Kluyveromyces lactis: one gene and its partners. The protein of the gene in region 3 purifies or fractionates together with the protein of the main gene of each other region. This does not show direct contact. Links are inferred from orthologs where the notes say so. Each region holds a gene or a part of one and is shown on either strand. Other genes may lie near its edges. The genes, in order: RPS3, KLLA0_A04730g and SRO9.

Region 1 (2,421 bases), on a different chromosome or scaffold from region 3:
TGGCCCATTATAAAGGCTGTGCAGGAGTCCGAACATCTCAGAAAACCATTTACAAAATGAGCTGCCTACCTACATGGTTCTTTCTTTTTATTCACACAAGTTGCACCAATCGATGTGCTTGTTTCGAGTGAGCAAGTAGCTGATTTTCATTTTCTTTTTTTTTTTTTGGCCTTAGGGAAAACTTACTAGGAACATGAAAAGGTAGTTGTTATAATGGATTGTAGTGGGTAGGTAGGTTGAGGCATTTCTGGTACATTCCGTATATTCGAGTGTGCTCGCTGTACCCTCTGCAGGTGTACTGGCTCCCAATATTATTCTTTTTTTTCGTTCAAATTGTGAGAAACAGAGAGAGAGAGAGAAAACGAAACGGCATCCTGTAATTACCCGAAGCAATATTGGGTCATATACCTGCTAAAACCCGGTCAATATTGACGTACTTTCTTTTCGGAATAACAAGTATGCAGCTGTGACACGCCGTGATTGCAACATTGTCTGGAATTCCTATGTTATTTCCCATTTTATTATTCGTTGAAACAATTGTGTTGTCTGTTTCCTAAGTGATGCGAGTTACCACAAGGCTCTCGAGTATTCACATAAACCAATGCAGGGGGTGGAACATCTCGCGTATAAATCCTATTTAGGAACTTCCCCATTAGGAAATGGAGGAACGGTCTTGAAGTTTTCTGTTTACGGCGAGTTTTCTACGCTTACCAGGTGACTTGAAAATATATGTTCCTGGGACTGCTCACCCGGACATTTTTGTTTTAGTTTTTTTTCCAATTTTTTCTGCATTGCCATTTTGGGTACTTATCTCATTGAAAATGTTCATTTATCTGAAGCATTAACCCATACACCACATGTGTTGGTGAGTAAATACTGTCTTTCAGATGATTTTTTCATTTTCACCATACCAATCGCAGCGATTCGGACGGTTTGACGAATATTGTTCTCATCATCGCTTTACAATCTGGTTCATTATGAACATAAGTGCCATTGGACATACAAGATACTTACTTTAGTTAGTTTTATTATCACCTATAATTTCGAGCTCCCCGACGAACAAATAAAGTAAAAATGGTTGCCATTATCTCCAAGAAGAGAAAGCTTGTCGCTGACGGTGTTTTCTACGCCGAATTGAACGAATTCTTCACCAGAGAATTGGCTGAAGAAGGTTACTCTGGTGTCGAAGTCAGAGTTACTCCAACCAAGACCGAAATTATCATCAGAGCTACTAAGGTTCAAGATGTTGTTGGTGAAAATGGTAGAAGAATCAACGAATTGACCTTGTTGATTGAAAAGAGATTCAAGTACAAGCGTGGTACCATTGCTTTATACGCTGAAAGAGTCCATGACCGTGGTTTGTCCGCTGTTGCTCAAGCTGAATCCATGAAGTTCAAATTGTTGAACGGTTTGGCCATCAGAAGAGCTGCTTACGGTGTTGTCAGATACGTTATGGAATCTGGTGCCAAGGGTTGTGAAGTTGTCATCTCCGGTAAGTTGAGAGCTGCTAGAGCCAAGTCCATGAAGTTCGCTGACGGTTTCTTGATCCACTCCGGTCAACCAGTCAACGACTTCATTGAAACCGCTACCAGACACGTTTTGTTGAGACAAGGTGTTTTGGGTATTAAGGTTAAGATCATGAAGGACCCATCTAGAAACACCTCTGGTCCAAAGGCTTTGCCAGATGCTGTTACCATCATCGAACCAAAGGAAGAAGAACCAGTTTTGGAACCTTCTGTCAAGGATTACAGACCAACTGAACCAGTTGAAGCTGCTGAATCTGCTTAAATCAATTGATATCTGTTTGATTCTATATTATTAATTAGTCTATTAAATACCGTTCTTATATGTATAAATATTAAGAAACTCATCAATTCTTTTAAAAATAAGTAATCTATGCCCAGATGACATCGATTAAAACGTCCTGCTTTTATCAATGGATTTTTAAAATGATTTATCGATAGCGCCTTCCGATAATGCCTTTCCGCCTTTCAGTTCCTTTATCTTTCATACTAATCAAAAAAATTCGGTGGGCAAAAATCATGTAAATTATTAAAAAAAAAGAGAATATATAGTGCGTACTGAAAAAACCAATGGCTCAATTATAGATGAATTGTTAACCATTTAATACCACACGTAGGGTCTATACGTTCCATTTTTAAGAGAACGTAGGTATCGCTCACTAAACACATTGACTGAAAGTAAATATGGGCCTAACTTATAAGGATTTTTGTGCTGTAGGTACAGCATTGATCATTGGATCAACTACTTTTTTGATGGGGATCTTCTTTTCTAATCAACCATATGACTATAATATCCTATTCAATCCTGCTGCCACGCCGGAGCATTTTGAGAACGCTTTGAAACACTACCAGACTCTATTCTACACGGCCAAGCCAACCCTTTATATGCTTGGTGCGG
Region 2 (3,761 bases), on a different chromosome or scaffold from region 3:
GATCAACTTAAACTTGATTCTGCTGGAGATGTCACCATTTTCGATCACGTTCTTTATTTGGTCGAATAGTGTGTCTAGCAAGCTTGAACCCTCAATGACAGCTTCTGCAGTAACTTGAATACGAGCACCTTCGAACTGTTCACCAATTGTTTCCAAAAGTTCACATACAGACTCTAGAGTATCTTCAGTAGGAGAGTTTTGAATATCCTTCATTAGTCTCTTGAAACAGAAGAAGACCATTCTGGAAGTCAATAAGTTCGAACGGTACAAGAAACCAATGAAACGAACCAAACCCAAACCTCTTCTCTTAGCGGCAGCCATCTTATAGTATTCATCGGACATCATTTCAGGTTGTAGAGGAGTACCGTCTTCGTTTGTAGGTAGTTGATCAGTCCATCCTGTTTGGAATTCAGTTTGACATCTTTGGACTAAGTAATGCAAAACCAAGTGAGAACCAGTCTTATCTGGGGTTTCTGAGTCTTTAATGCTATCATCTAAGTCTTTAACGACCTTACCACATAATTGCGCGTACATTGATGACCAATGAGGTTCATCGCAGGCCTTATTGAAAATTTGTTGGATGACAATCTTCAAAGTCTCACCCTTTTCTTCCCATCTAGATTGGTTAGCGATCTTCATGATATCATCAGAAATAGGTTCGAACATTTCTAATGTCAATTTATTCAGCAATGACTTCATCTTTCTTGATGCTTCTTCCGCGTCGTAAAGTTCTGTTCCGTCTGGAGCTAACTTGACTTCTGTTTTCTTCATCTTAGATTTAGGAACCCATCTATTAGCACTTGGGACCAATGGGGCAACCTCAACCTTTGGCTCTTCGACTTCTTCCTCTCTGAATCTTTCACGGTCCTTTCTGGAAGTGTATGATCTATTAGATTTTCTATCATCCCTCTTTGACTTCTTCTTCGAGTTGGACCTGGAACCCGATCTGCCTTCACTTCTTAGAGATCCAACCTTACCCTTACTAAATCTATCTTCGCCTCTTCCGCTTGAACCAGGCTTCTTAGGAGGGATGACAATTTTACTCGTCATTTCAGCCATCCACGCTGGATCGTATTTAACATCGACCTTTTCTTTGAACTGATACAAGAAATCAGGTCCGTATGCATATTTAATGCTTGTCTTTTTATATCTATCATTTGGAGGCGTAATGTCACTTGGGTATTGGAAGGAATAAATATCATCAACTGGAGAAACCTCTTTCAACTTCTGTAGGAAATCGGTCATGGTAATCTTTCCATCGTCTTCAACTTCAGCCTCTTCTCGAGGTTTTGTTTCAACATCAGCAGGAGTTTCAACGGGACCAGCAGGAGCCGGTTCACCTTCTTCGGCGTTTGCTTCAGTTGCTGTTTCTTCAGTTGCTGTTTCTTCAGTCTTTGGTTCTGCAGGCTTTGATTCTTCCGATTTTGGTTCTTCAGTCTTTAATACCTCGGTTTTTGGCTCTTCAGTTTTTGATTCTTCCGACTTTGGTTCATCTGACTTTGGTTGTTCAGTCGTCGGTTCCTCGGTCTTTGGTTCTTCAGGCTTTGGTTCTTCCGCCTTTGATTCTTCCGCCTTAGGTTCTTCAGTCTTTAGTTCCTCGGACTTTGTTTCTTCAGTCTTTAGCTCCTCGGTCTTTGTTTCTTCAGGCTTAGATTCTTCAGTCTTTAGCTCCTCGGTCTTTGTTTCTTCAGGCTTAGATTCTTCAGTCTTTAGTTCCTCGGTCTTAGCAGAAGCTTGCTTTGCAGCTTCCATCCTCTTAAGTCTCAATTTTTCGGCCAAAGTCAATGGTTTTGGCTCAGCTGGAGCCTCTTCCTTAGTCTTTTCTTGTGATTCTGATTGAGCTTCTTCAGACTTGGCAGATTCAGTGGCTGTAGGCCCTGTCTTAGTATCAACGCTTGCATCAGTGTCAGTTCCAACGACAGATTCCTTCGGTTCCTCAGGACCCTTCTCTTCGACAGCCTTCTTAGCAGCTAAAGCAGCCTTGCGTCTTTTAACTTGTTCCAAGAAATCGTTCACAATTAAAGTGTCCTTCTTTGGTTCTTCAGGCTTAGCTGGAGATTGTTCCTTACCATTAGCAGCAGGGCTCTGTACTTTGACAGCTGGAGAAGCTGATGGAGACACAGAGGATGATACAGCAGCAGCGACGGTAACGTTAGCTGGAGGCGACACTACTGGAACTGCACGCGAATGAGATTGAGAATGAGAATGAGTATGTGGATGAGCAATGGAAGCAATATCTATGTGTTCACCAGACTTGTTAGTAATCTCAACCTTCGCTGGTTTAGCTGAAACAGCAGCTGGAGACACTACTGGGGGGACATAACCTTGTCCGCTCATTGGAGTCTGGTAAGCAGCAGCGTACAGCTGTTGCTGCTGTTGGTACTGGTTATAGTACAGAGGGTTGTACTCTGCCGATACGCCGTAGTTCGGAATGTATCCCGCAGAAACACCGTACGCTGGTTGGTTATACTTTTGATAGTGCTTATTCGAGGAAGAACCATTATTATTGTTGTTGTTACCTCTTTGGTTATAAGGCCTAGAGTTCTTCCTGTTACCATCATATTTCCCATTTCTAGGAGCACCGCTTCCAGCAGTATTCTTGACATATCCACTGTTTTTTTGCGGAGAACTGGTTGTCTCCTCCTGCACAACTGGAGCTTCAACAGCTGGTTGCTGATCGGATGTAGGTTCGCCCATATCTGCTTTGAAAAACCGCTCTTTCTCTCTTCTTCAGATGAAATTAGCTGGATCTAAGCTCTTTTCTGTTTAATTTCTCTCTTGTAACCGAGTAATCCAGAGTACCTAGAGAAAACGAGTCGAGTTATATAGAAACACGAATGAGTAGAATGAAATTAAAGTCCAATTCTTAACTCTTTCTCTTTAAACAAATAAACGAAGAACAAAAAAAAATTATCACTTTCTTGTGAGATTCTTTTTTTCCCAGATTTGTTTCTTTACTGTCCACTGTTACTCTCTAACAATTCAAACAATACAAGTGCTGATAAATCTATTGACTATCAGATCAGCAGTAGCTCTCTGTGCCTCTTTTCCTCTATCCTGTTTTATGCAAAATGTGCTATCGTAATGGTAAAATTCAATGGCTTAAAGGTTGAAATTTTATTTCAAAAGATTCACAGCTTTTCCTCTTTACAATGTAAAAATTTTTTTTTTCTTCTTTCGTGTATATTGAGAAGATTGACATGATGGTCAAGTTTATGACGAGATGAGATGCGATGAGGGGGAAAAAGAGAGGATCTGATTAGAAACATATTGACACGGGGGTACAACCACAGGCGTGTGTTGTACGTGGCTTATGTATAATATGTAGGGATGTATCTAATGATATGCGCTGTTTGAGATGAAAGGGGTGAAGGATCCTTACTTGAACAATTTTGCTACAGAGATAGCAGTTTCGTCGTTCTTGTTCATGACCTTGGCCACGGCTAGTTCAAAATCTTCTTGGGTTACGTGAATTCTACGTTCCCTTAGTGCGTACATACCAGCCTCGGTACAAACACCTTTAACGTCAGCTCCAGAGCATCCGTTCATCTTTTCGGCGACTTTCCTTAGGTTAATACCACGGGTCAAGTTCATCTTTCTTGAGTGGATTCTTAGAATCTCTGTTCTAGCCGCTACGGTTGGTGGTGGGAATTCGATTTTTCTATCAATTCTACCTGGTCTTAGCAATGCAGGGTCCAATATATCCAATCTGTTTGTAGCCATGATGATTTTAATGTTTTTCGAAGTTTCAAACCCGTCCA
Region 3 (3,488 bases):
TTTCTGTTACGATATTTGTATCTCGTTCGTAAGCCTCTAAATCCACACAAAATAGGATAGTCTTCTTTAAGTTGATGCATTCAATTGCATTCTTCCACTTTTTCCATTCTGATCTACCAGGATAACATTGCAATTTTGGCTTGGCCGCATCCCGAATCCGATCACAGAGTAAAGCATCAGAAGGGGTTACATCTGAATGGAAAGGACATGTATTGAAGACCTCTTCCTCAAAACGTTGAACTAAAGCTACATGGGACTTCTTCTGTGCGATGTATGTTTTCTTGAGAATGCTTCCGAGGTCTTTAAGGTACAATGCCACCAATTTCTCAGCTAGTTGGTTTCTGACGTACCCATTATACTGGATCTCTTCTGAATTGTCTCCGAATTTTCTTGGCGGAGAGGTCCTTTCCCAATCTTTCAATATTTCTTCTGGAGTCTTGACGCCTAGTGCCTCATAATAAGAATCCAAATCAATGTCTGACATGACCTGCACACACTTAAAACACCTATATTCTCTCCGTGGTTCTTTCGTTCGACGAATATAGATCTTTGGATTAACACAACGAAATAGTAAGTAAATAATACCGCTTAATTCCTCGATGTGAATCTGATACTGCTCAATTTATCAATGTATTCTTTGTGTGATTTATCGTCTTGAGCTGAGCAGAATTGTCGCGCACCTTAAAATCTTAATTGCCTAAAGAAACACCTGTTGTGATTAAATTCCCATGTTTTTTTCATTTGACTTCAAAATTTCAACTTAGTACAGCAGCAATCATCTAAACAGTACCTAGTATGTCAAATAGTGTTCTCTCTTACAACAACGAGCCTCAATTGCCTCCGCTGATGCTCACATCTCAGTAACGTTTTCCTTTGGTTGTATGAGTGAAGTAAACTCTAACATATTATCAGGGTAGAAAATCGATAAACCCTTACACCGCACCACGCACTTTTTTCTTTCTTGAAGCTAACTTTGCTCACTGATGCTCTTCGCTTCTCGTTTTTTTTTTTCAGTTTTGAAAAATCATTGACAAAAGATATGCGATGAGATATGAACAAATTATATAACCAGTAACCTCTTGGAAGACTAATACTATATTTCCACCACTATATTGTGAACAAGCCAAGGCAAGTATAATTCTGTGTAAGCGGTGTACTATTTTTTTTTGACAGAACCAAAGGCATTGATAAAAAGCTTTTACATTAAGTTATTTCCTGCACTCATTTTTTTTGGAGTTGTCTTAGTAAGTGTTAGTTCTAAGTTTTGATCCGACACGTAAAGAAAGCAAATATAACTGCATTGAAATTTGGCTTAAGAGTGTTTTAGTCATCATCAGATTGTTGTTTGAAAGAGAATATAGAAGGAACGAGAGAAAACGTTAGAGAAACAATATGTCCGAAACTGTTACAACTACCACTGTTCCTGTTACTGATACTCCGCATGAAACTGAAGCTGTTTCAGTTGAGGTTGCTACTGCCAGTAGTAACGACACTACTGTTGCCACTGCTAATGATGATGTAGAATCTTCCAGTGTTGATTCTGAAGGAGAAAAGCCGAAGTTAGTGTTGGCACCTTTGCCAAAAAAGTCTCCTTGGGAAGAGACCGGTGTCACTGAATATAAGCCTTTAGATTTGTCAAAGGTTGTTGCGGCTAAAAATAAGAAAGTCTCCAGTTCTAGCAAGTCTCGTAGTAAAGGTACTCCGTCTTTGACCGGTAAGGAAAGATGGGTTCCATTAGATGTGGATATCACTGTTAAAGACAAAATTCCTGATGTCAGTAATGCTAATGGCGGTAAGGGTAAAAAACTGAAAAATAAGACCAAGAAGGATAAGCCAAAGGTTGCCAAAAAGACCAAGGGTAAAGACTCTACCGCGAAGCCCAAAAAGGACTCTGAAGGCGAAAAGAAAGCAACAAAGAAGCAGGATCGCCAGACAAACAAGACATCGAGCTCGAATGGCACCAACGAAAAGATTTCTGTCAATGGAACTACTCCTGCTTCTGCCTCGGGTTCTTCTGATATCACTAAAAACGGATATACTGAAGAGTCTAACCAAGCGGACAAGAGACCAGAAACGGCATCCAGTTCAAACTCTGAAGCTTCTTCCGAAAACGGTATATCTGCTCCACCATCTGCTGAAACTGATGGTAAGAAAGTTGAAAGCCAGCAACGCCGCTTTACTCCTAACTCTAAGCCATTTTACCCAAGAAACGCAAATCACCACAACAACCATGGTCATGGGTACCACCACCAGCATAACAAAAATAACCATAATAATGAGAATCATTACCATGGTTCAAAGTATCAACGTCAACGTTCGTACGCTCCTGTAATGTACCAACAGAATTATACCCCATCGTACGTCTTGGTTAATGAGATTGTCCGTCAAATCCAATATTATTTCAGCATACAGAACTTGAGCAAAGATATGTTCTTAAAATCGCAAATGAATGCTCAAGGTTACGTTCCATTGGCATTGATCTCAAGATTCCATCGTATGCTAAACTTATCTTACGGCGATGTCGGATTGATTCTAGCTGCATTACGAGAATTGAAAAACTCTGAAAACTCCAATGTCAACATTGCTAAATTGACTGAACCTTTCGAAAATGTCGTTGGGAATCCTTTGTTCCAGTATGCATTAAGTTCTAAAGTTTGGACTGCTGACGAATCCATTTCTGAACCAAAATCTTACGACACCGTTGAATTCGTCAGCGATGAATTAGAGCTATTTAAAATTGAACCAATCAACCCAATAATAGATTCATTACCATCCTTCAAACCAAACTCATCTACTGAAAAACACGAGCAAAACCAAGATCAAGATCAACAAGAATCTTCAGAAAATCAAGAAAATCAAAACCAAGAAGTCTCTGTACAATAGTGTTCCCTTGTCAAATATACTCTTTTTATTTTCTACCCGTTCACTGCATATTATATTTAACAATCAAGCTCTCATCCACATAATAACATATATATATACACACACAGTTAATCAAACAACTTCCACTTTTTTTTTTAATATTTGCTTTGCGTAAAAATAGTCGTTATGTGAAATGCTTTCTTTCTCTTCACTTAAAAAAAACCTTTAATTTCGAGGACGTTTCAAGGGAAACAGTTTAGTTTAGACAGTCGAGCATTACCACACCAAAACACTAACCACAGCGCGCTCGAAAACAAACACCACACTTGCGTCGTGATGAGTTATGAGGCAGTTCCTGCCGAGAATTCGGCTTTTATACCTGATCAAGCCAAACGTAATATCAAGGGATGGTATTTCTATTGCTTCTCAAGTGAACCCTTCATAGTCAGCGCTGTTTCCACGTATGTCCCATTATTGTTAGAACAGTTTGGTAGGATTAACGGTGTTAAATTGGATGATCATAGTCTCAGATGCGAAGTGAATGATGATAAGTGCGTACTACCTATGTTTAATGGAAGATGGTTCATTGATACATCTAGCTTTGCATTATATACCTTTTCCCTAAG

What was found.
Region 1: the proteins of SRO9 (region 3) and RPS3 purify together in Saccharomyces cerevisiae (affinity purification with western blotting; 3 studies listed by BioGRID, with this or other methods). This does not show direct contact. The link is inferred for Kluyveromyces lactis from reciprocal best matches to the Saccharomyces cerevisiae genes SRO9 and RPS3.
Region 2: the proteins of SRO9 (region 3) and KLLA0_A04730g purify together in Saccharomyces cerevisiae (affinity purification with western blotting; 4 studies listed by BioGRID, with this or other methods). This does not show direct contact. The link is inferred for Kluyveromyces lactis from reciprocal best matches to the Saccharomyces cerevisiae genes SRO9 and TIF4631.

The regions. Positions count from the first base shown.
Region 1 is NC_006040.1:704,992-707,412, reverse strand, and holds RPS3 (40S ribosomal protein uS3), read left to right. Parts: upstream 1-1,074; coding exon 1,075-1,788; downstream 1,789-2,421. Other genes in the region: SHR3 (Shr3p), read left to right, coding at 2,208-2,421. UniProt on the Saccharomyces cerevisiae protein: Component of the ribosome, a large ribonucleoprotein complex responsible for the synthesis of proteins in the cell.
Region 2 is NC_006037.1:422,232-425,992, forward strand, and holds the start of KLLA0_A04730g (uncharacterized protein), read right to left. Parts: upstream 2,698-3,761; coding exon 1-2,697. Other genes in the region: proteasome regulatory particle base subunit RPT6, read right to left, coding at 3,379-3,761. UniProt on the Saccharomyces cerevisiae protein: Component of the eIF4F complex, which interacts with the mRNA cap structure and serves as an initial point of assembly for the translation apparatus.
Region 3 is NC_006039.1:93,313-96,800, reverse strand, and holds SRO9 (Sro9p), read left to right. Parts: upstream 1-1,392; coding exon 1,393-2,883; downstream 2,884-3,488. Other genes in the region: KLLA0_C01232g (uncharacterized protein), read right to left, coding at 1-484; ATG22 (Atg22p), read left to right, coding at 3,199-3,488. UniProt on the Saccharomyces cerevisiae protein: May overlap in function with tropomyosin and may be involved in organization of actin filaments. Acts as a multicopy suppressor of RHO3 mutation. RNA-binding protein which may modulate mRNA translation.